Linked DNA regions of Schizosaccharomyces pombe. The protein of the gene in region 2 interacts with the protein of the main gene of each other region in a pairwise test. Each region holds a gene or a part of one and is shown on either strand. Other genes may lie near its edges.

Evidence for each region.
Region 1: the proteins of SPOM_SPBC354.04 (region 2) and ifh1 interact in a two-hybrid assay, tested with the Schizosaccharomyces pombe proteins (one large-scale study listed by BioGRID).

Annotation. Positions count from the first base shown.
Region 1 is NC_003424.3:2,379,830-2,396,945, forward strand, and holds ifh1 (TOR signaling pathway transcriptional corepressor Ifh1), read right to left. Parts: upstream 14,468-17,116; 5' UTR 14,431-14,467; coding exon 12,541-14,430; 3' UTR 12,117-12,540; downstream 1-12,116. Other genes in the region: SPOM_SPAC22H10.05C (cleavage and polyadenylation specificity factor complex subunit), read right to left, coding at 1-197, 343-414; SPOM_SPAC22H10.06C (uncharacterized protein), read right to left, coding at 1,491-1,772; metallothionein Zym1, read left to right, coding at 1,901-2,053; Cdc42 GTPase complex scaffold subunit Scd2, read left to right, coding at 3,343-3,351, 3,405-5,006; SPOM_SPAC22H10.08 (uncharacterized protein), read left to right, coding at 6,078-7,436, 7,493-7,612; protein Cbp8, read left to right, coding at 7,904-9,844; alp21 (tubulin-specific chaperone cofactor E), read left to right, coding at 10,257-10,411, 10,450-10,718, 10,761-10,860, 10,907-11,182, 11,226-11,961; GDP dissociation inhibitor Gdi1, read right to left, coding at 15,586-16,786, 16,872-16,993.
Region 2 is NC_003423.3:547,273-551,771, reverse strand, and holds SPOM_SPBC354.04 (uncharacterized protein), read right to left. Parts: upstream 1,477-4,499; coding exon 985-1,476; 3' UTR 501-984; downstream 1-500. Other genes in the region: sre2 (membrane-tethered transcription factor), read left to right, coding at 1-29; Set1C complex WD repeat protein Swd3, read right to left, coding at 1,960-3,102.

The DNA.
Region 1 (17,116 bases), on a different chromosome or scaffold from region 2:
AGGCCTTCCAAAGCAAAATGCAAATTTAGATATGTACTCATAGGAGTTTCTTCAGCAACATACTCAACGGACGGTTCACCTTCAACTTCTAAAGTACATCCCTGCCATGTATATATCGCTCCTTTAACACGAGTAAAATGATATGGTGGACCTAAAGCCAATTCAGTGCCAAAATATTCTGCATTTCCAGACACGAGCTAAACATGTTAGGAAAATACTTCCAAGAAAGAAAAAAAAAATTTAAAGAAAGAGTTAAATAAATTAAGTAAATATTTGCTAGAATCTGAAGTAGCAAAAGTAAGCTACTTCATGTCGTAAACAACAATATCACCACGAACTTACTCGAATTTGAATTGCCGGTTCGTCGACCTCAAATCTCCATTCACACTCTTTCGGAATGAAAATTTCTTTCATTTCTTAAAAATATAAATGGATCTAAGCAGCAGCTGAGACCGCTGACTGTTCAGGATGAAGACAAGAGAAGCTACGAAAACTATGGTATACTAACTCCATCTGAAGTGCAGATAACGAAGAATATGATACTTCGTAAAATGTTAGCTACTGAAGGGTAGTCAATATAACGATATGTGCCACAGTTGAGTTTTTATTATGATGCTATATTATCTTATACTGGACGACTTATGACAGAAAATAAGTATATTTTTAGGCCCATAAGTTCGTACAATATGTGATTCTGTTAAAGGGAAAGTTGTTTAAAATGCAAGATAGCATGCGTTAAAACTTACTGACCGAACCTGAAAAGGTCCACTTGTAATACTTCCTGTGCAAATAAGTGGATACAATGTGTGTATAATCCACTCTTCAAGCGAAAGAAATAAACATGGAAAAGAGAGTATAATACTAGCGTAACGAATAACTAATACCAAAAGTTCGTGATGAGCTTCCGCGTAGACATTTATAAGTTGTGCAATGCCTCAGTTGTTCTTATGCCTAATTTCTATTCACTATTAATAAACGCTCGATGTTTTATTTTGCTAGAAGCTTCACCACGCGATTAAACATGTAAACAACTATATACTCAATCTATCTGTCAATATAAAATCTACTGATAAAGGAGTACATAAACATAGATAAGATGCATAAATCCAAAAACTTTATGCTTAGAAATAAATGTAAACAAACGAATTTAACCAATGTTTTCAATGTAATTTTAAGTTAAAGTTTGCAGAAACAGAGAATTCTAGAAAGTAGGAAAACTGTAGAACTATCAGTTTCAGCTTTTACTAAACTCGTAAAGACTTACTTTTGCGTATTTTATAACCAATGTTAATAGTGAATTTGACGGACAAAAGTGAATTCTGCCACACCCTCCTCATATATGCCCTCAAGTCTGATATTTATTCAGTTGGAAGGCATAGCTAGTCTGTATGAATTTAGAATCTTGGAGTAAAGCCATTGCGGCACCTACCTTTTGGCGGGAACTATTGTGGCGATACGAACGGAACCCGAGTATCAGATGATGTAAAGTGTTAATATTCCTTAACAGGACCCAGAATCAAAACAACACCAGTACTACGCAGAGATCTACCTTTACCAACTGGATATAATATTGAATATGATACAACTAACCCATTCTTAATATGAGATTGTTTTCTATTATTCATAAATTTATGTTCATTTGCTTTGTAAAGTCCAATCACTTCATTTGTTTGGTTCCATGAAACAACAGCATGATTTGTGTACAAACATCTAAATACGTATATGCATTTGCCTCTCCAAATATCCCTGCAGATCCTATATCGACATGACATGATACTGTCAATCCTTTAGCTTGGAAAATGTATATAAAGGCACCCTACTCTCACCTTTTTTACCACTTTAAGCGTGCTTGAGACAATCGACTTTCAACAACTCATATCACCCTAACAAACTTTCAACGATGGAACACACTACCCAATGTAAGAGCAAACAAGGCAAGCCTTGCGACTGCCAATCCAAGTGCGGTTGCCAAGATTGCAAAGAGTCTTGTGGTTGCAAGAGCAGCGCTGTTGATAACTGCAAGTGCTCTTCTTGCAAATGTGCTTCGAAGTAATCTATATGAGATTTACGGACTGTAGTTCTGGCCTTGACGAAATATTTCATCCATAAAGCAATGTCCGCCTCGTCTTATTGTTTTTCGAAGCATCAGTCGAGAAAACAATACTATTATGGACCAACGAATCGCCCTGATGTCTTGATCCTACTACATTGCTACTTTTTTACAGAGCATTCTTACTTACAACTCAACTCTTAAGATATGATTGTTATGAATAATAATGAAATCATAAATTGATTTATTTTCAACAGCTATTTTTGCTTAGCGTAGAGTAAGGGCATCATCTTCTTGGAAAATCGTCCACTATTGTGGATTCTTTTCCACAATAAATTAGTTTTATGTGCAAAAAAAGATACTCTGTATCAATTCAACCAAAATTATGTCTTAATATTTTAACGGCACTAACGAACGTTTGTTTCTTCCTTCTATACCATTGCTAAGTTAAGCTCTGTAAAGCAAATGTATACATTATATTTGGGTAACTACGGAATCTATTTTTCATAGCGAACGCTAATAGCGCGTAATCCTTTAAACTGTTTAATACTCATTATAATATAATTACGATAGTGAACTACAATGCTACGCGACAAAATTCACTTCCAGAATTAACTGAAAGGTAACTTGAACATAGAAGTTGTAGATCTGTAATTTTATACTTGGTAAGAGGGAAATTAATAAGAGAGTCAGTTGGGAAAAATTTTAATACGTTTCCTTGTTTAAAATTGTTGAGTTTGTATTCTTCTAATATATTACTTTGCTGCTTGGACCAACTCTCATTGTTCTATATTAAGCCTCTTTTCCCGTCCTTTTCTTCCTTCATCTATCTTTCAGGGCTCAGCAGTTCAGTCACTATAATTGAGTGTCTGCTAGCTTCTTCGTTCTTTCTAATTACAACGTGCTAACAAATCGATTTTGTCTGTTTTGTGAGAATATTATATCCTGTATACTCATCTTTCATAAAAACGACAGCGTTTTCAAAGTGTTTGGAAATTAATTATTGATTCATTTACAATATATTGCTTTCTTTAAATCCGTGCCATTCTTTTTGCCTTTTCTTCATACATTCCTTTTGCTATCTCGGATCTTAATTCATATACCCTTACAGTAGGTTATCGCTTTAACAGTTTGTCTGTAATTATAATTTCCACTTGATCGTTTTATGAAAATTAAGTTAAATCTTTTTGTTGCAGGGAATTCTAATAGTTAGAATCTTTCTGAGATTATTGTAATATAATTTCAAATTTTGTTCTACTACCTTCTTTCTTTTTGTTCTAATTCCAGTCTCTATGTTAAAGGTATGCTTCAAAAAAAATTTTTTGTTAATTAATCAATTATTAACCATCTCTAGATTAAAAGGACTTGGAAAACTCATAGTCGAATTCTTGATAAAGATCCTTTTTCAATTGAACCCCCGAGAAAAGTTATTAGGGCCCTTTATGATTACACAGCTCGTAAAGCAACTGAAGTTTCATTTGCCAAGGGTGACTTTTTTCATGTTATAGGTCGTGAAAATGACAAGGCTTGGTACGAAGTTTGTAATCCCGCTGCAGGTACTCGTGGCTTTGTTCCAGTATCTCATTTTGAAGAGATAGGAAAAACGGTCAAATCGGAACGAGACAGTGATGGCAGCGGGCAAATATCATTTACAGACTTAACCACCAATTCTAGTACCACTAGGAGCTCAATCAGTGAACTCCATTCTGGTTCACAGCCGCTATTTGGAATTGTGCAATTCGATTTTGCTGCTGAACGACCAGATGAACTTGAAGCCAAGGCGGGTGAGGCTATTATAATTATTGCTCGGTCAAATCATGAGTGGTTAGTAGCCAAACCTATAGGACGATTAGGGGGTCCAGGTCTCATTCCTCTTTCATTTATACAACTTCGAGATTTAAAAACCGGAGCTGTGATAAAAGACGTTAGTGAGGCTGTTTTACGTATTTCTTGCATACCTCGTGTAGAGGATTGGAAACGTGCGGCTGCTGATTATAAAAAGAGTAGTATTCCTTTAGGGAAATTCAGTGATGGTGAAACTCAAACTATGCCTAGCTTAAGTCCAAGCACTGAAAATTTACAAATTAATAACGATGTTACATATCAAGCTGCTACTGACAATTCAAGCACTTTTCCTGGTTCCGTCGCTAACGAATTAACACCTCTGCAAACATTGGAGTCGCGTACGGCTAGCATCGCTTCTAAGAACAAGAAAGACATGTCTTCTGAACCTACCGTTGTTGCTGCAATGGTGGAAAACTACATGATTCGCGATGACCAATATTGGTATTTGGTCCGTGCCGTTATGAGTGATGGAAAACATCGAAACCTTTGTAGATATTACGAAGACTTTTTTAATTTCCAGACGAAGTTTTTAGAGTTATTTCCTAATGAAGCTGGTCGTGGGGACGAAAGACGAGTTATTCCTTACATGCCCGGTCCAGTTGATGACGTTAATGAATTAATATCTTCACAAAGGGCAATGGATTTAGATGTATATCTGAAGGAAATGTGCAGGCTTCCAGCTCGTTTACTCGAAAATGAACTCGTCAAACTTTTCTTCTTACCGCTTGACGGAGACGTTGAGTCCCCTCATCCAACTAGTACGATGCCTGAAGCCTTACCCAGAGAACCGTTAAGTTTCTCTTTGCCAGAGAAAGCTCCTGAAAAAGCTACTAATATCTCTATTCCCGAATCAGCTCCGACTACTGCAGGTTCGACATGCAAAGTTAAAGTCAGATTAGGAGATGAAACCTTTGCTTTGCGCGTTCCCTCTGATATCTCATTTGAAGATTTTTGTGAACGATTGACTAATAAACTCGGAGAATGTGAACATTTGTCATACAGAGATACGAACGCGAATAAAGTATTACCTCTTAATAATGTTGACGATTTACGGAAGGCATGTTCTCAAGAATCAGGAGTTTTACTTTTTGCAGAAAGACGGAGGTTTTGAGACTATGTATATTTAAAGATTTGGGTTTCTTATTACGTTCTTGCATTTTATTTTTTTTTCGTTTCGTTCTTTCATGGTTTACTTTTATTAATTTAATTTCATCGGTATAATAGCTTTCTTTATCTTTCTAATATATCTGTCTGTTTTTTCGAGAGGTATGCGTTTTTGGATAGTATTTAATCACGACCGAATAAGATGCAAAATGTTTATTCTCCTTATATATTAGCTTTCTTGGAGGTAAAATAAACAAAAAATCTCAACTATGCACTCCCTTTTTGTTCACAATCATTCAATTGAATATTTTCATTAGTTGTTTGATACTGTTCCTCCAAACATATATGTATTTGACGTATTTCAAAAGGGGATAAAGGTAAGCCTAAGTAGTAAAATAAAAACGTTTTTATTGCGAGAAGTTCAACATTTCTTGACAACGTCTTAATCAGCTGAATCAACGCAGATTTGGTAATACAATATCATGTCGCAGTAATAAATTGGTTCATATGAACCAGCTACAATATCGATCACGTATATTATATACAGCCAATTTGGTAAAGGCAATTTTGCAAACTACCTGTTGATTCATTAAACAATTAGATATTGGAAGCCGGAAACGCTTTCTTCTATACATTTACTTCATTTATGTATACATTATTTCTTACATTTAATGTGACCACAAGTAACATGCTGCATACATTTAATCCAATACTAAAGACGCTTTATCTTGTTAGTTTATCTAAAATATTGCTTTACTACATGCATACTTTCCTTAATGCTTATCAAATTTCAAAAATAAAAAATGCTCATATAATTTCCTTTTCCGTATACTTAGAATGGTGGCATCTAAAATAGCGGTAGAAAATAGTACCTGTTGAAGTGACAAGTAGTGAACGCCCAACCTTCGATATAGATCAAAAAACAATAAATTACAGCTGTGCAGTTGCTTTTATTTCAACATTGCAAAAACACATGTTAAATTAAAATTTTTTTTTAAAGATTCCCTCACTTTAATACTTCCTCCTTTTAATTTATACCTGTATGATTAATTCATGAGAACGTATTCTTTACATAGACATGGACGCTGAAGCCTTAAGGAATTTGTATTTGTCATCCATTCTCCCCAATGAATCTAAAACGGGTAATGAATCACCTGAAAAGAAATTTTCTTCTCCTGTGTTGTTGCAAAGGGCCAAAGTGATTCCTTTGAGACTTGAATATGAAGAAAGAAAGCTTCTTCATTTACTTACTGCTGCATTGGATGTGAGTGATTATACCGACAGCGTTGATACCCTAAGCTTTTCGTCGCCAGCGAAAAGACTGGCTCAGCAATTGAAAGGAATTACTGCAGTTTTGTCGGGTATCATGGTTGCTTATGATTATAAAGTTGGACAAGAATTGCTTGAGCATAAAAATTTTGAACAACATGCCGAATTTTTTAAAAAGATTTTTGAAATAGGTCGACGTTATAAAGTGCTAAATCCCAACCGACTGGGGTCTACTTATGGGAAATTGATGTACTTTGTGCAAGATTCTATGCGACCAGAAATTCAAGACGCACTTGGATTTAACCTCTTTAAACCCATTTTGACTGTCTATGAATTTTTGAATGAAAGGGATGCTTTGAACGCATTAGAAGATCCTTATGCCGAAATTGCTACTATGGAAATAGTCGCTGAAAATAGATCACGCTCAGCGATTCAAAAAGATATTAAAGCGAAAGAAAGAGCTGTTGAACATATTGCAAAAAAGTATTACAGCAGCAAAATTACAAAAGAGAAAGTACGATGGTGTCTCTACTCTATTGCTGATAGTAACAGTTACTTGAGATATAATCGTGATCCAATTGCCAAACTCATAGGCTTGGTAGAAGCATATTTTTCTCCAGATACCGTGGACGATGAGTTTACTCTTGCTATTGATGCCATTAATGGCTCAAGACTAAAGCATAGTCATTACAAACAGTACCATTATGTTGTGCAAAGTTTGCATCTTTGGCTTTTAATTATGGGAGAAATATTTTCATTATGGGCTCTTAGTGATCTGGAGTTAACTAACCCAGATATGGAGTATAAGCTAATTGATAACAATCAAGGAATACACAGAATGCAGCCTTGTCCCAACATTAGAATTGCGATGGAAAGGATTTTGCGGACGGCTCAAGAACAGTCTGAAACATGGATAGGAAGTTCAACAATCCATCTCGGAGATACCGCTGTTCCAAATGCCTTATTGTTTATAGACAAGTATATGCAAGTGCCAAGGATTTTAACACCCTTGGTTCTATTGTTCAAGGAGTTAGATTCTTTAAATGACCATTCTCTTCTTAACTACATTGATACAGCTTTTGGAGGCAGAGAATATTTAAAAAAGACTATTTTAACCGATTTTATGAGATTCGGATTTGATGGATCTGGTGCAGACAATTGGTTTGATGTAAGTTAAAATTATCTATCTATATATATATCTGTTTAATTACTAACTAGCTCTAGGCTGGCAGTTGTATTGATGGACGTTTGACTAGTGCCTGGAATTGGGCAAACAACATACACACAAAAGATTACTATCGTGTACTTCTCATGTCCGGATTTCTTAGCTTCAATGGTGAGTAATTATTTAGTAATGGATTAAAATACAATCTTTTAAGCATCAGTTATTTTATTATTGCAAAAATGTATATAAATTCTCGACGTGTAATAGGCTCCCACCAACAACTGCCAACATCAGGAAATCTTATTACGTTTCGCGTAAATTGTTCAAAAGATTGACATAAATACACGTACCAAAAACCTTTATTTACTTTATTTTATTGAAGTTGGTTGTATTTAGAGATACTTTGATCGGTTTATACTTAGAATACTTTGGAGATTAATTTGATAAAGGATTAAACCTAGGATGCGTTTATGTTGAAAACCCTTAGCAAAGTGTCAAAAAACTTGTCAAATACAAGTGCTTTTCTTGTCAAGTCGAAACCCTTATACATTTCTTTTTGCACTTGCAAAGCGTACTTTGAAGACAATACTTCATTAAGCAGACGGTTTTTCTCTGCAAAAAAAAGTTTACAATTCAAATCTTTAATAAGAAAGTATTCTGAAGACTCTACCTTGGCCTGGAGAGATTATGAAAACTATAATGATGATGACCTGCTATATCAACGTGAGTTATCAGAAATATATAACAAATGTCTGAAAGCTCTGCATCCGTTTTACCCAGTTTTTGAGGTTAATAGTAACTTGTATTATCAGTTGCTAATGTTTACGAATTATTCAAATCCGAAAGATAATGGTTTTTCAAAATTGCTTTTCTCACAATATTCTGACGAAAAAAAGGTACTGGTAAATTTCGTATATAATGTGCTTCGTTTAGATCCGGATTTGCAAAGGCAAAAGCGAATTCTGGAGAGCATTATTTCAGCTGCCTTGAATATTTGCGTATCTACTGTAAATTTGAGTAGAACTGACTTAAAATCTTCTTTAAAAATAATTTTGCAAACAATTGATCTGTTTAAATATGACAGTTCATTCTCTTCTATATATTTTCGAAAAGATGGACCGTACCACAAAGTTGAAAAACTGCTGAAAAGCGCTAATATTCGCTCTTCACTTAATTCAAAAACTTTTAATGATTTCCGCACACTTTTCTTGCTTCTCATTAGAGATTACAGTCTTTTCCATGGAAATTCGAGCCATTGCATGTTAGCTAATTCTATGCTACCACCGTCTATTGCTTTTTCGAAGATGGAGAAGGCTGAAATTTTTTTACGTTTACGTGCGTTTTTTCAGCTTATGGAGCATATTGATAATGAAAGGATAACTCCATCTGAACAGTTTCTGGATAAAGTCTTTATATCTCTCCTTTCGGCTAAAAATAGCTGCTCTCTTAAAATGTGGCTCATTCACTCATTTAATAAGGGATGGCCGGTAAAAATTGAGTTTTTTGTTTCTTTTTTCAAAAATTTTTCCAATATAGTAGAAGGCTCTATGGAGGTCTATTCCGCATATTTACATATTATACGAGATCACTACAATTTATCTGATTTGGCTGACGTACAAGCAATTTTTCTTTCTCGTTTTATTTTATTAAGAAAGAAAGAAGATTGCAAAAAACTACTGGAGCATGTTTTACCTATTCGTCAGCTTTTTTTGTTAAATTGCTATAGCCTGCTAAATGTACTCGCTAATTACGTTGTCGTCTTTAAAGATCGTTTAATTTTTCAAGAAATAAATCAAAATTGGGAAGAGCATAAAGGCCAAATTCCGGAAAATTTTATTTTCTCTCTTTTGAAGATGTTTGGTGAAATGCAAGAGAATCAAGGTTTTTTGAATGCCTGTATTTATTATATAAACAAAAAGAAAAATTTAAACGAAGTTAGTCGTTATAAGATTAATTTATTATTACTACAAGGTGTGAATTCCTTCGAAGTAAAAGACTTTTACAGAAAACGAGGAATCGAAATAATGCCAAAAAACCTGCCCAGATTTTTTTGTTATTGTTTAAAAAAAAATAAATTAAGTTATGCTTTAAAGTATATACGGTTATCTGGGCTTCAGTTTGATTACATTGTTGATTGTTTCCGTAATAGCAGCGACTGGACCAGAACTCTGATTTCGATATTGAGCAAAAAAATGGGAACTGAATTCGCAATTCGTTTTTTAAAGATAATTTCTTTTCCTTTGTTATCAAATGACAAAGTTCTCCGAGAGATCGAATTTTTTGCCATTCACGAGGTAAATTTTAGAAGTCTCAAATGGGTTGCAGATCAACAATTGCGAATTCTCCCAGGATGGAGTTCTCGCCCCCAAAAAGCAACATTTCCTTTATGTACAGTTCATTTAAAAAAGTGATAATTCTCGATAGTGCTGCTTCCAATCTACATCGTGCTTGGTGCTTGATACATTTAAACGCATTGTTTGATAATTAATATATTCATTGGTATCAAGTTGTACTTTACGAGGTATGCAGCCAACAATAGATTATTTACATTAACATTGAGAGACTTAATAAAGCAGCACATTTAAAAATGAGATCGACATTAGAATCAAAACCCGTATAATAATAAGCAGTATTTCCAACTATTTTCCTAACAAATCTGATGCCATCTATATTATCACTACGTACTGAACACTTCTATGTCGCAAAGAAAAAGTGCGGTTAAAACTTTTTGTTGTAGATAAAAGACAAAATTTGAAAGAAACAAAAAACTTAAACTGCCCAAATTTTTATAGCAATCCATTTTCTTTCCCACGTTGATTAATAATGCATATATCCACTGGAATGGTTAGGGCTTCTATATCTAATACTTTAGTAACATTAACCATCGAAGGAAACAATGATCGATACCAAGTCATACTTGATAAAAACGTAAATGCAAAACAGTTTGTTAAAACGTGTTGGAGAAACAAAAAACCATTGTAAGATTGTTATTGACGACAAGAAACTAAACTATTAGAATTGTAAAAGAAGGAAAAATATTTGTAGACAAAGGATTCCCTTTTGATCCATGCAGAACATTTTTGGAAGCACTTTACGAAAAATATTCATATTCAAGTCCCCTACCTTCCTCTGTTGAATTTAAAAGTGGAAAACAGGTAGAATTCTGTGGTTTCGAAAAAATCCAAAGCAAGCAAAGAGATTTAAAAAGCTTGCGCGTTATTATTCTAGACAATTATAGGATTGAAGATATTGAAATAGAGTACGAGTATTCTAAAATACTACCTGGTATGTCACTTATTTTCAACTAAATGTTAACGGAATTTGTAGAAGTTATCGACTTAGATTTATCGAGAAATTTGTTTCATGAATTTTTTCCAATCCTTAAATTGTGTTCCCAGCTTCCTTCATTAAGAAATTTAACTCTAGAGCATGTGTTTTTGTTTATCTCTACACGTATATTCTAACTCTTTCAGTTCAAACTTATTTTCAAATTTTATTAGCTCAAATACCGTTCTTTTAATTCCTCATTTAACACAACTTTCAGTGAATGGATGTGGCCTAAACAGTAAAGATGTTCAATGGATTACAGAGACTTTTCCCAGTTTGGAAGTACTTTACCTTGAAGCAAATGAAATAATTTTATCAAAAGCAACATCTTTTAAAAATCTGCAGTTCCTTCAAACGTTAAGTCTTGCAAATAATCTCAATCTTTATAGTGCTGATGGCTATGCAGTTGATGTGTTCCAAGGGTAAGTATATTTGAGAAATACGAATTAGGTTTCTAATCTAAAGAATTAACAATTTGAATTTATCTTCTACCTCCCTCGCTGATGTTGCAGAACTACCTGTACACACTTTACACAAATTGACATTCCTTGACATATCAGAAAACAACATTAGGGATATTCGTTCTCTGGATCATCTTCGTACATTAGAAAACTTAAAGCACCTGCGTATAACACTTTCTTATTTTAATAAACCTACTGATATAGCTAAACTGCTGGTGATTGCGCGAATTCCTTCTCTTGTAAAATTGAATGATGTGAATATATCACCTAATGAGCGTTTGGATGCTGAGTTGTACTACACTTCATGCATCCGGAAGCTTGTGATTGATAATGAAATTAAGGATGTTGAAGAGCTTACGAAAATAGAGCCATTCTGGGAGGAAATATGGAAATCTCACGAGTTGCCAAGCATTCAATTCCATTTGGAAGCTTCAATCAATGACTGGACGTCTGGCATTCTTAAAAATCGCATAACAAAGGGCATCAAAATATCGTCAATTAACTCAGGTGCGACAATGTTATTAAAGCTCCATTATAATTGGAAACTGTTAGATATAAAAGCTTTAATTTCATACCACTTCGCAATTCCAGTACATACGTCTACTTTTGTCTTTGCTTCAAGCGAACGAGATGTAAGCTTCTCTCCAAAGACTGTCAGAGACGACCAAAAGCGTCTCTTTGAACTCCCTTTTACTTGTACTTTTATCGATGTATATGCAAAGGAAAGTGGAAACGTCTAAAGCCAAGTTATTACTTGAAGGACCAAAATCGATGCTCTAGTTTTACGGCTTCTTTTAAAATACAGAAAAATCTTTTTAGCGAACTCTTTTCTAGTATTATAGTTTACGCGATTAGTCATTAGAAGTTTTTTATATTTAATATTCAATAACTCTTTAAATATACTAATTCCATGTATATACCATATATGAAAAGTGCCTCTAAGTTATTTAATCGGTTCGACACAATTATAAAATTATTAAGAAACAAAGAAAACCAAAGCCAAAACCTTGAACCAATAGAAAAAAAAAATACACGTCAAGTGTGACAAACTAATCCACCACGGTCAACTAAGATCAGGGAACTGGTGATAATAGGGAATCCTTGATTACATAGTTGCAACAAAGCAAGTTCAAAGACCAAATGAAAGCAAAGTGATCAACCATGTCATATAGATTTATTCTTCAATACAGGAAAAGACACAAAGTCCAAATATATTAAGGTTGATAAACGAAAAAATAAGAAACCAATATCGTAGTATTGGAAAATAATTCAGCACACCAAATACACTTATAAAATAAATTAGAAAGGAGACAAAAATTTTAATAGCCAGAAGATTCTAAGATTTCAAATAGGGGAGATAATTCTGGGCCTAAGCCCAACCCTACTGTTTCATAATCATTATCAAGGTAAGAGCCATCATTGTGTTCGTCTTCAAGCGCACTTTGAAAATCAGAATGCATCTGACGAAAAGTCATTTTACGTGCTTTCTTTTTGAGAGCACGACGAGCCTTACGTGATTTTGGTCGTAAAGGAACGGAATTTGTGGTAGTCATACCAGTAGCATTAATTTTGTGTCGGCGTTTTTCACGTGTTTTGATAGCTAAGGTAAACCATTCATCTCGAATTAACTCATCGCGACGTGCCATAGATTTTATGTACTGATTTTTTCGAAACGTCCCAATAGGAATTTTTTCCCAGCGACTCAATGAATTATCTTCTTGTGCAAAGGAAACTGAATTTTCTTCTTGAAGATCAGTTTGTGTAGAAGGTTGCAGAAGAGATGTATCAAGAATATCATCTAGGGATGGCTCTTCTGAAGTTTCATTCAGAGTTTGAGGCCCATAACCGTTGTTAGCAGTGTTTTCACCCTTTGTACATGCATCAAACTTATCATGGTGAAGGGAATGAGAGTGTTTACCATCAATAATACCAATCAAATGATTCGGTTCCTTAGCCCAGGTACCCATTACAGGCGGCTTTGGTTGGGTTATATTTAATCTTGGATCTAATTCAAAAGATGCTACAGAGACAACTGTAGAAACTGGTTGAGCTAAGGTAGCTTTAGCTAGTGTTGGGGTCAAACCAGTACTATTATCGGAAATATTTGCACGAGAAGCCAAAGAAGTAAGATCTTCTTTATAGGCGAGTTCAGCTGATAGCTCAAGCGGAGTAGGGACAGCTGAAAGTAGAGTACGTTGTGAGTTAGGTGATTCCGATAATTCTGTTTTGATTCGGGGTGTTTGACCGAAAGATTTTTTAGGAGTAGATAGATTTAATAACTTATTGTTTTGTAATTCTGGTGTTTCTTCATCAGTTGTATCCCCTTCATCATCTGCTTGGTGAGATAAAGTGTTGAGTTCGTCCGAAGAATCATCAAAGAAGCATTCCCATCCAATCAAGTCAACATCATCTTGTTCATTGTCATGATCGTCAACGCTAGAATCTGAACTAATAAGCCCCAGTAAGAAATCATCATCTGATCGCTCATCCATATTTACATGTTCGGTAAGAAAACGTTCACGATGGCTATTAAAAGAAGCCATGTCCATGTCCAAATTATCAACCCAGGAAGCGCTAACTATATCTTCTTCTTCTTCCTCTTCTTCTTCCGTAGATGTCGAAAAGCCATTTTCAGTTTCACCTTCGTACGTTGAGAGGTGCTTGCTTTTCGAAAAACCTTGATTATCCTTTTGTGGAGAAATAAAACATTTATTTTTCCAACTCTCTTTAAACATTGCATCTCTTTTTAAAATTTTCGGTGCCTCTAACGCAAACGATCCTTGATTAGACGAACGTCGTCTAATTCCTGCGTTTTCTCGTTTTACAAACTCTGTAGGGGGAGTAGAAACTTTTAAAAGTCCATTGGATACCTCTTTCGACTTGGGATGTGAGGAAGACTTTTTCCAAGAATTAATTTTCAGAGGCTCCTTATTTGAATAAAATGGTTTTTCATCGACAAATTTCTCTTTCGATCTACCGATTTCAAATCCCAGGGATAATTTTGAATCAGAAAAATCATGAAATTGATTTTCCTCACTGTCAGATAAAGGCAAATCCAATTTCTGTCTTTCTTCTTGAAAGATGAATGTTGGCATTTTGTCAAAATCAACGGGAAAATTCAATTCCGCTGGTAACTTTTTAATTTCTTCAGTATTTTGATACCCATTCTGTATATCATACTCTTCAATTCGCCCATTCGTTAGCGCCATCCTAACATTCGCAAAGACGAATTACTTGGCTGTGGTTAAGTACTCAACTGCTTGAAAGCGGAATTCTTAGCCTCTAGTTCTGATTCCACCAACTACCCTACCCTAAAAGTTGTGCGTGAAATCAGCGTGATGCCGCCCTAATTTTTCACTTCATTACGGCATTCCCAAAGGTAACACAAATTTCATTGCGACACTTAACTTCACGACACCAATGTTCATAATGGTGCTATAAATTACAACAGAATCTGCAACAATTGCTACTTTATATTATTTGCACACGCATTCCATATTTTTTATCGCACTTCCAATTGCATTTTTGCAATTCGTTTACATCTAAGTAAAGGAATATTTTCAATAGAATGAACTTGAATAGCATCTGGTGTAATTGCACTCATAGTTGGGTCATAAATTTGAAATCATTCATTGATTAATCATTTTGAAGTTAATTATGAATTTAGAGCAACCGTTGTTGGCAAAATAGTTGTTAAAGCACTTTGCTAATATAGTTGGTAAATATCTAATATAATGTCTATACGACAGAAGTTTAAATTACAGAACAGATGAATTTTACTAGCGTACCAAGCAGAGTAGTTCAAAACAGCACTAATATACGCCTGGCTAACGGTGCCTAGCTTCTCTAAAGCTTCTCACCGTAAAGCTGACTACTCTCATCAAAGTTAACGGTAAAAGCGGTTACTGAATCGTGTAGAAACCAGTTGGGAATATACATTATAAAACTTTAATAATTTCTGGCATATAATGTTATTGAACTTCTTTACATAATCTTATATTACTGATATTTCTTAATTATTAGATATAATTAATTTTTATTTTCATATCTTGGCGATAACAAAGTTTATTAAATAGTCTAATTCATTTTTATCATCTACCTAATTGAAAATGAAAAATATTTTTAATTCGATACCCATCAATCAAATGAACATTGACTGTAATAGTATACTGGTTTGACGATTCTACTTGCCGTAGAACATCATTTACGACCAAAAATCTTTTTCAGATGCAATATATAACATTTTATAGCATCATGCATTAATCTCATTCATTAAAGATAAATTCCAATCTGTGAAAACAAAATTCAGTGCGACTATAGTGGCAGCGAGTGACAAACTTGAAGGCCACAGATTCTCCTAATGTTTATTGATCTTCCATTTTGGGACGTTGCTTCAAAACCAAGTCAGTGCCAGTCATTCTCTTATAAATATCTCGAACGTCGCAAGTCAAGGTTTCAAAATGGGAAGTGGCATCTACGCTTTTACTGATGTAGCATTGATCTTTGGTGCCATCTGTCACTGGCTCATATATTTCCTGGACTCTAGAAAATGATTCCACTACAGGCCCAAGAAGCTTGAGACCAGGTGCGATTTCCGACAAAGGGTTAGCTGTCTCAACGATTGTGGAAATGATAGCCAAGTAATATCCCTTAGGGCAAACATTGTGAACAGATGAAATTCCTGCAATATAAATGTCGTGCTTACGTTTGACTTGGTTCTGTGGAATAATAATTTGAACGGAATCCAAATTATCTGTGTTAGGAATGGGATGGTTCAAGATACAAATAGCTCGCACAAGGCGTCCAACTGAACGAACTTTTTCACGAAAATAAGATGGGTCCCCAATTATTTGCTTAGCCTTTGCAACTTGATCGCCACTTCGAACACCGATTGCGACACCATCATCCCCATAAACAATTTCATCGACAGGCTGGTTAAGCATGTAAGTACCACCGTAAATTGCACTTAAACGAGCAAATCCTTGAGGAAGTTCGCCCAAGCCGTATAAAGGATATATATAAGGGGATTTGCCAAACTTGGCAATCGAGGACGCATACAGTAAAATGCGCTCACGAGTCTCTCGAGCAGGTTTTTTCAAATAGGCATCATCCAAATAAAGTGCCATAGCATGGCCAATAAAATCTTGAGTACCAGATTGCAACCCAAACTTTTTGAATACAGATTCCATAGAATCCCGATCAATATTTATATCCTTGTATGTACTTGGATCATCTTCACGATAGTTATTAACCCATTCTAAAAACTTCTTGGCCCTTCTTTTTTCAAATAAGCTCATAAGGGGACTCTTCAATGCTTCCATTTCGTTTCCAGGTACTTTCGCAATTCGTCCATCACGATAAACGTAGCTACCGGCAATCTGTTTAAATTCAATGTAACGAGTGACATCGGTATAAATCAAAATGTTGGTTAAATCGCCATTCGCCATTAAAAACTTTGGAACGAGATCTACACACCAGTCCCTATCTCGACCTAAGCTCTCTGGTCGTTGTTCTCCAGGACGAAACAGAGCATATAACTGAGTTAAATTCAAACTAGCAGAATCACTAAGAGGAGTTAGTAACTGACTGAGAATGTCCATATCCAGGTATTAACAACGGTTATGTGAAATATTAACCACATCTAACTTACGCTCCATAATAATCGTTTCTATCAATATGCAATACTTTCTTTCCATCCACACTCAACAAACCGCTGAGAACACATTCTGTAAGCCCTGTACCGAGGACTATAACATCATATTCCTCATCCATAGTAAAATCAATGTATTGTGTTTAGGTTGAATCAAAATACCAGTTCTAAACGAGTATCCAAGTTACACAATCGTGTGAGTTCGAATTCCGTCTTGGCCAAAACATTCATGACGTAATGAGGTA
Region 2 (4,499 bases):
TAAATTTAGAATCTGGTGTTGCAACATAATTCCAATCACTCTTCTTTATAGTATTCTCCACTAAGCTGGAATTCTCTGAGATTACTGTTCGTGTTCTTTTGTGGATGTTTCCTTGACTACTTAACTAATAAAAGCGTGACATTATACTGCTTCCCTTATAGTTTTGGTTGGTTTTCAAGGATCTTGTTTTTGTTTTGTTCATCTTGTACCTGTGTAAGTTTTATATGACATTGACCTAATGGCCGTGCTCATGACTTCCGATTTCCTAATACGGTGATTTTACTTTGGAAGGCTTTATTACACTTTTTTAAGAAATATGATTCCTATTTTAATATTTCTTTTATGTAACTGTGCCAGTGTTTTGTCTGATTGGGGGTATGGAATGAATAGTTTTTCACTGCTCGTTGTTGGAAATAAATACTTGATCGCAATGATTTGTCAATGTATTAAGAAGTTATGTATTACTTCAACAGATGTGAACGAATTCGTTTACCTTTGCTTTTTGATGATTCGTGTTTGTTGTTTACTTCTATCTTTTTTTGCCTTAGTGTTAATTGTCGCTCTAGCAGACGACGGTAAATTAACTATTAATAATCATTTCTAACGGATTTTCTTTTTATCCAGCTCCCTCTAATGAGGCTTTATTAGTAAAATTATATAATTATATCCATTTATCTTCCATTTTTATTCTCGAATTTTTCTTGCTGTAAGATTGAAGCAGTTTGGAAATATAAAAATTATGTTTTCAAATTGAAATTGAATAGCCAATCTAAATGAAAAAAATTTTAGTGTCATCGTCAACCTTATAATTTCCCCTATATTGTATCAAATCCCAACTCCTATACTGTTTCAAAAAAATGCCAAAATATAACGACCAACATGGACCTTCTTAAAAATTTTTTAAGATTAAAAAATATAATCTTTGTTAAAATGAAAAAGATAGTAGGCAAGAGAAACATAATGAAAACCATACGGCTTTTATCCTTACTTAGTCGCTTCCTCTTCAATTTCCTGGAACTCGCGAACGACTGTGTCAGACCTTTTGAGCTTATCATTAATGAATGTCCATCTTTTCAAGGTATTCTCTACCAATCCGTCAGCACGGGGTAGTAGATTCTTGCCTACGACCTTGGGTGCAAACAAATATGGAATTAACATAGGGTGTGGAAGAGGCGTTAATATCACCAAATAAACAAACATTAAGTTTTTATCATAAGGATAGGGCTGTACGGCGGATAGAAGAATTTGTTGAACATGATCAAAGTCGAAGCTAGTCATCAACTCAATTCTGTTTACCACAGTATCCGTGTCTTCATCTAACATAACACTGTAATTCTTAACATCTAAGGGGATCGCTTTAGCACCTACTGACTCTAACCTTCGGAGCTCCTCTTCAACTTTTTCAGCAATCCAACTTTTTGCTTTCTCGTCAACCTGCAAACTGTCCAAATCCTTATGTGCTGGGTTTTCACTCATTGAAAATCAGGTAATACGTTTTTTTCTCAATTATTTTAAGTTTGACTCGGCCAAATGATTTAATTCGAAAAAAGTTTTACCTTATTAGAATATCAGTAGTGGTAAAGGAATAAATATTAGGAAAAAAAAGTAAAAAATTTATCTCCCTTTAAAATCTGTCGAATTAAACTAGATGATGAAAATTAGTAACAAAATGAATATAACTGGTTTAATAAACGAGAAAAATTAGAAAAACCATCAATTTCAGGATATCAACTTGGCCGACATTCGTTCTTCGAGAAATCTTCTGTAAAGAATAATCGAAGACTGTATAAATTAATTTTATCTTCTATGTATCGATCCACTTAAGTTTTCATAGGCCAACTAGCCTTTGGATTGGAAGTAAGGAGCTTGTTTTCGCACGTAAACCTTTAGCATCATTATCTTCATCGTAATTCCAAGTAGTTTCTTTAAACTTTATACATTATTTGTCAACAATTCAGGTTAAGGTGAAAAGCCATCTTTCTCGTGCTTCGACAATAGAAGAGAAGGAGCCCAAACTCGTACATAAGGATCAGTTCCTGATGTGATTATGAAAGGACCTAAACTGGTTACATTTAAAAGTGATGTTTCTGGATCATCGGAATGCCTAATTGAATCGTCAATAATTATTTTTGTACTCGGATCTGTAATTTGGATTGTTCCATCTTCACTAGGAATTAAAAGATAAGCATCGTGCATGAAAGATTCTGCATCATCAGGGTAGGAAGAGTCATTATTGGGTAAAGCTTCAGTATTTTTAGGAATATTTTTAGAAGAATAGCAATCCCAAGACATAGAATATCTTGTATTCACGTGGCTATCAAATATTCGTACCACACGGTTTCGGCGATAATCCCAAAGACGGATCTGTGAGTTAAGATTACTTACAAGCAGATATTTTCGATTTTCTGTAAACTGGAGATTAGACAAAGGAACATTAATGGGTTCAACTAATGTTTTTAAACACTGGCCACTGAGAACATCCCAAATTCGTGCCATTCCATCATAACTAGCAGTCGCACATAAAGTTCCGTCAGCTGATATAGAAACAGATATAATAGGTTCTGAATGTGCAGGTAGCATCCTAAGGCAAGTTCCATCTTGAAGATTCCATATACGGACAGTCTCATCCCATGATCCTGACACCAAAAGCGTGCCCAATGGATTAAAGTCAATTGATGAAACGTAATTTGTATGACCTTTTAAACATCTCACACTGCACCGTTTTTCAAAATCCCAAATCCTTATGGTCTTATCGTCAGAAGCGCTAGCTAGATACTTACTACCAGTTGCCCATTTTACTTGAGATATTCCTCGGTAGTGGCCGAAAAGTGTACATTCAAGTCGAAACGTAAGTGCGCTCCAAATCTTTATAGTTCCATCGGATGAAGAGGTAGCGATCCATCGTTTGTTAGGGGAAACGCTGACACATGTAACACTTTTCTCATGACCGAAAAGAGTACAATATTCAGAGAATCCTGAATGTGATTCATAATTGCGAATGCGCTTATGTATTTGCTCCTCATCTTCCTCTACAACACCTTTCTGGTCTTTTTGTACTTGCAGGTCGTGGTTCAAAGGAAATTGTTGAGCTGTGGAATCCATCTTCTAATATACGATATGTGAAAAATTATCAGACCGATTGTTTGTACTTCTCGTAAAAATGGACTAAAGACAAAAATCGTATCAGGAAGTATTAAAAGGTTTATTGAATGATCTCAACAATCATAAACAAACGCCTTTGTCTGATAGTAAAATCGATCAATTTATTTCCTCTTTCTAGAGTCTATGTACAAGAAAAAAAGTTCATGGGCTTTTTGCATATGTAGATTATAAAATTACAATGATGCCAGTCAATTTTTTAAGCATCCAGCTTTATTGTATGCACAAGCAGTAACTGGTGTGGACAACGAAGTGTATAACATTCAACTAGCAACATACCACAATAATGACTATTTAAAAAACGCTTTTCTTTGGACTTATATTAAATAACTCAATAATTTGACTCGTCTTCAATAAAGTTTACAGGTTCATTTTCCTCGCAATTCACGTCGAAAACTACTCTGCAAAGGATATTCAGGAATATTGTCATTTTTAAGCCATTTAGTTCAAAGACTTAATAAATGGAAGTTTACTACAAATTGTACAATAATTCACGCATTGAAGTTATGAAAAAGCTTAGGGAATGAAGAAGAACGACTAGGCTCCTTTTACTGAAACGTAAAGTTTACAAGGAATTAATACAAAAACTTTTTTCTGATATTGCTCACTAATTTGACGAGGGTTCAATACTCTTGCGCTAAGGGTACGATCTTCGTACTGAGACATATCCTTTGAAGTTTTGTAATCTTCTAGTCTGTGAGTAGGCTAGTCCAATTTCTCTCCGGCCTTGCATTCATGAAGCTCCTGCTTGTTTGAAAGATACTAAAAAGAGGTTTCCTTATAATGAACCAAAATACGTTCTTTGCATAATGTCCTCATTCAATTAATATTGACTTTGATAGCTCCTTCGATATCAAGTTTTCCATTGCTTAAAGTTCTCAATAAGTAGTGTCTGTGATTCATCTCTCAACTGACTTCGAATGAGTCAACTCATAACTTTCAGAGTGATGCAAATAATTTAAGTTAAAAATGTTTCACTCTCGTTTGTCCCAAAGTTTTTTTATCCAGATAGCTGTTGTTCCACAGAAACATCTAAATCACGTGGATAGTAATTGCAAGAAAGAGGCTAACACTTATGAACAACTAGAATTACTTGTTGAGGTCATGAATTGGTAATCAATTTATTTGATCCAATCTCCCAATTACAAATTGGTAAAACAATATTGTGTTTTCATTTTTTGGTGAAACAGTTGGCATCTTAGATCGGTACACATATTAAGCCTTTCATCATAGCCTTTAGTTCCCTTCTTATTCCATATTAAATTAATGATCTTGATTTATTAGTCAACCTTGTTGCCTGGGTCGTAATGGAAATCGCATCTCCTTTTAATCCCTATGTG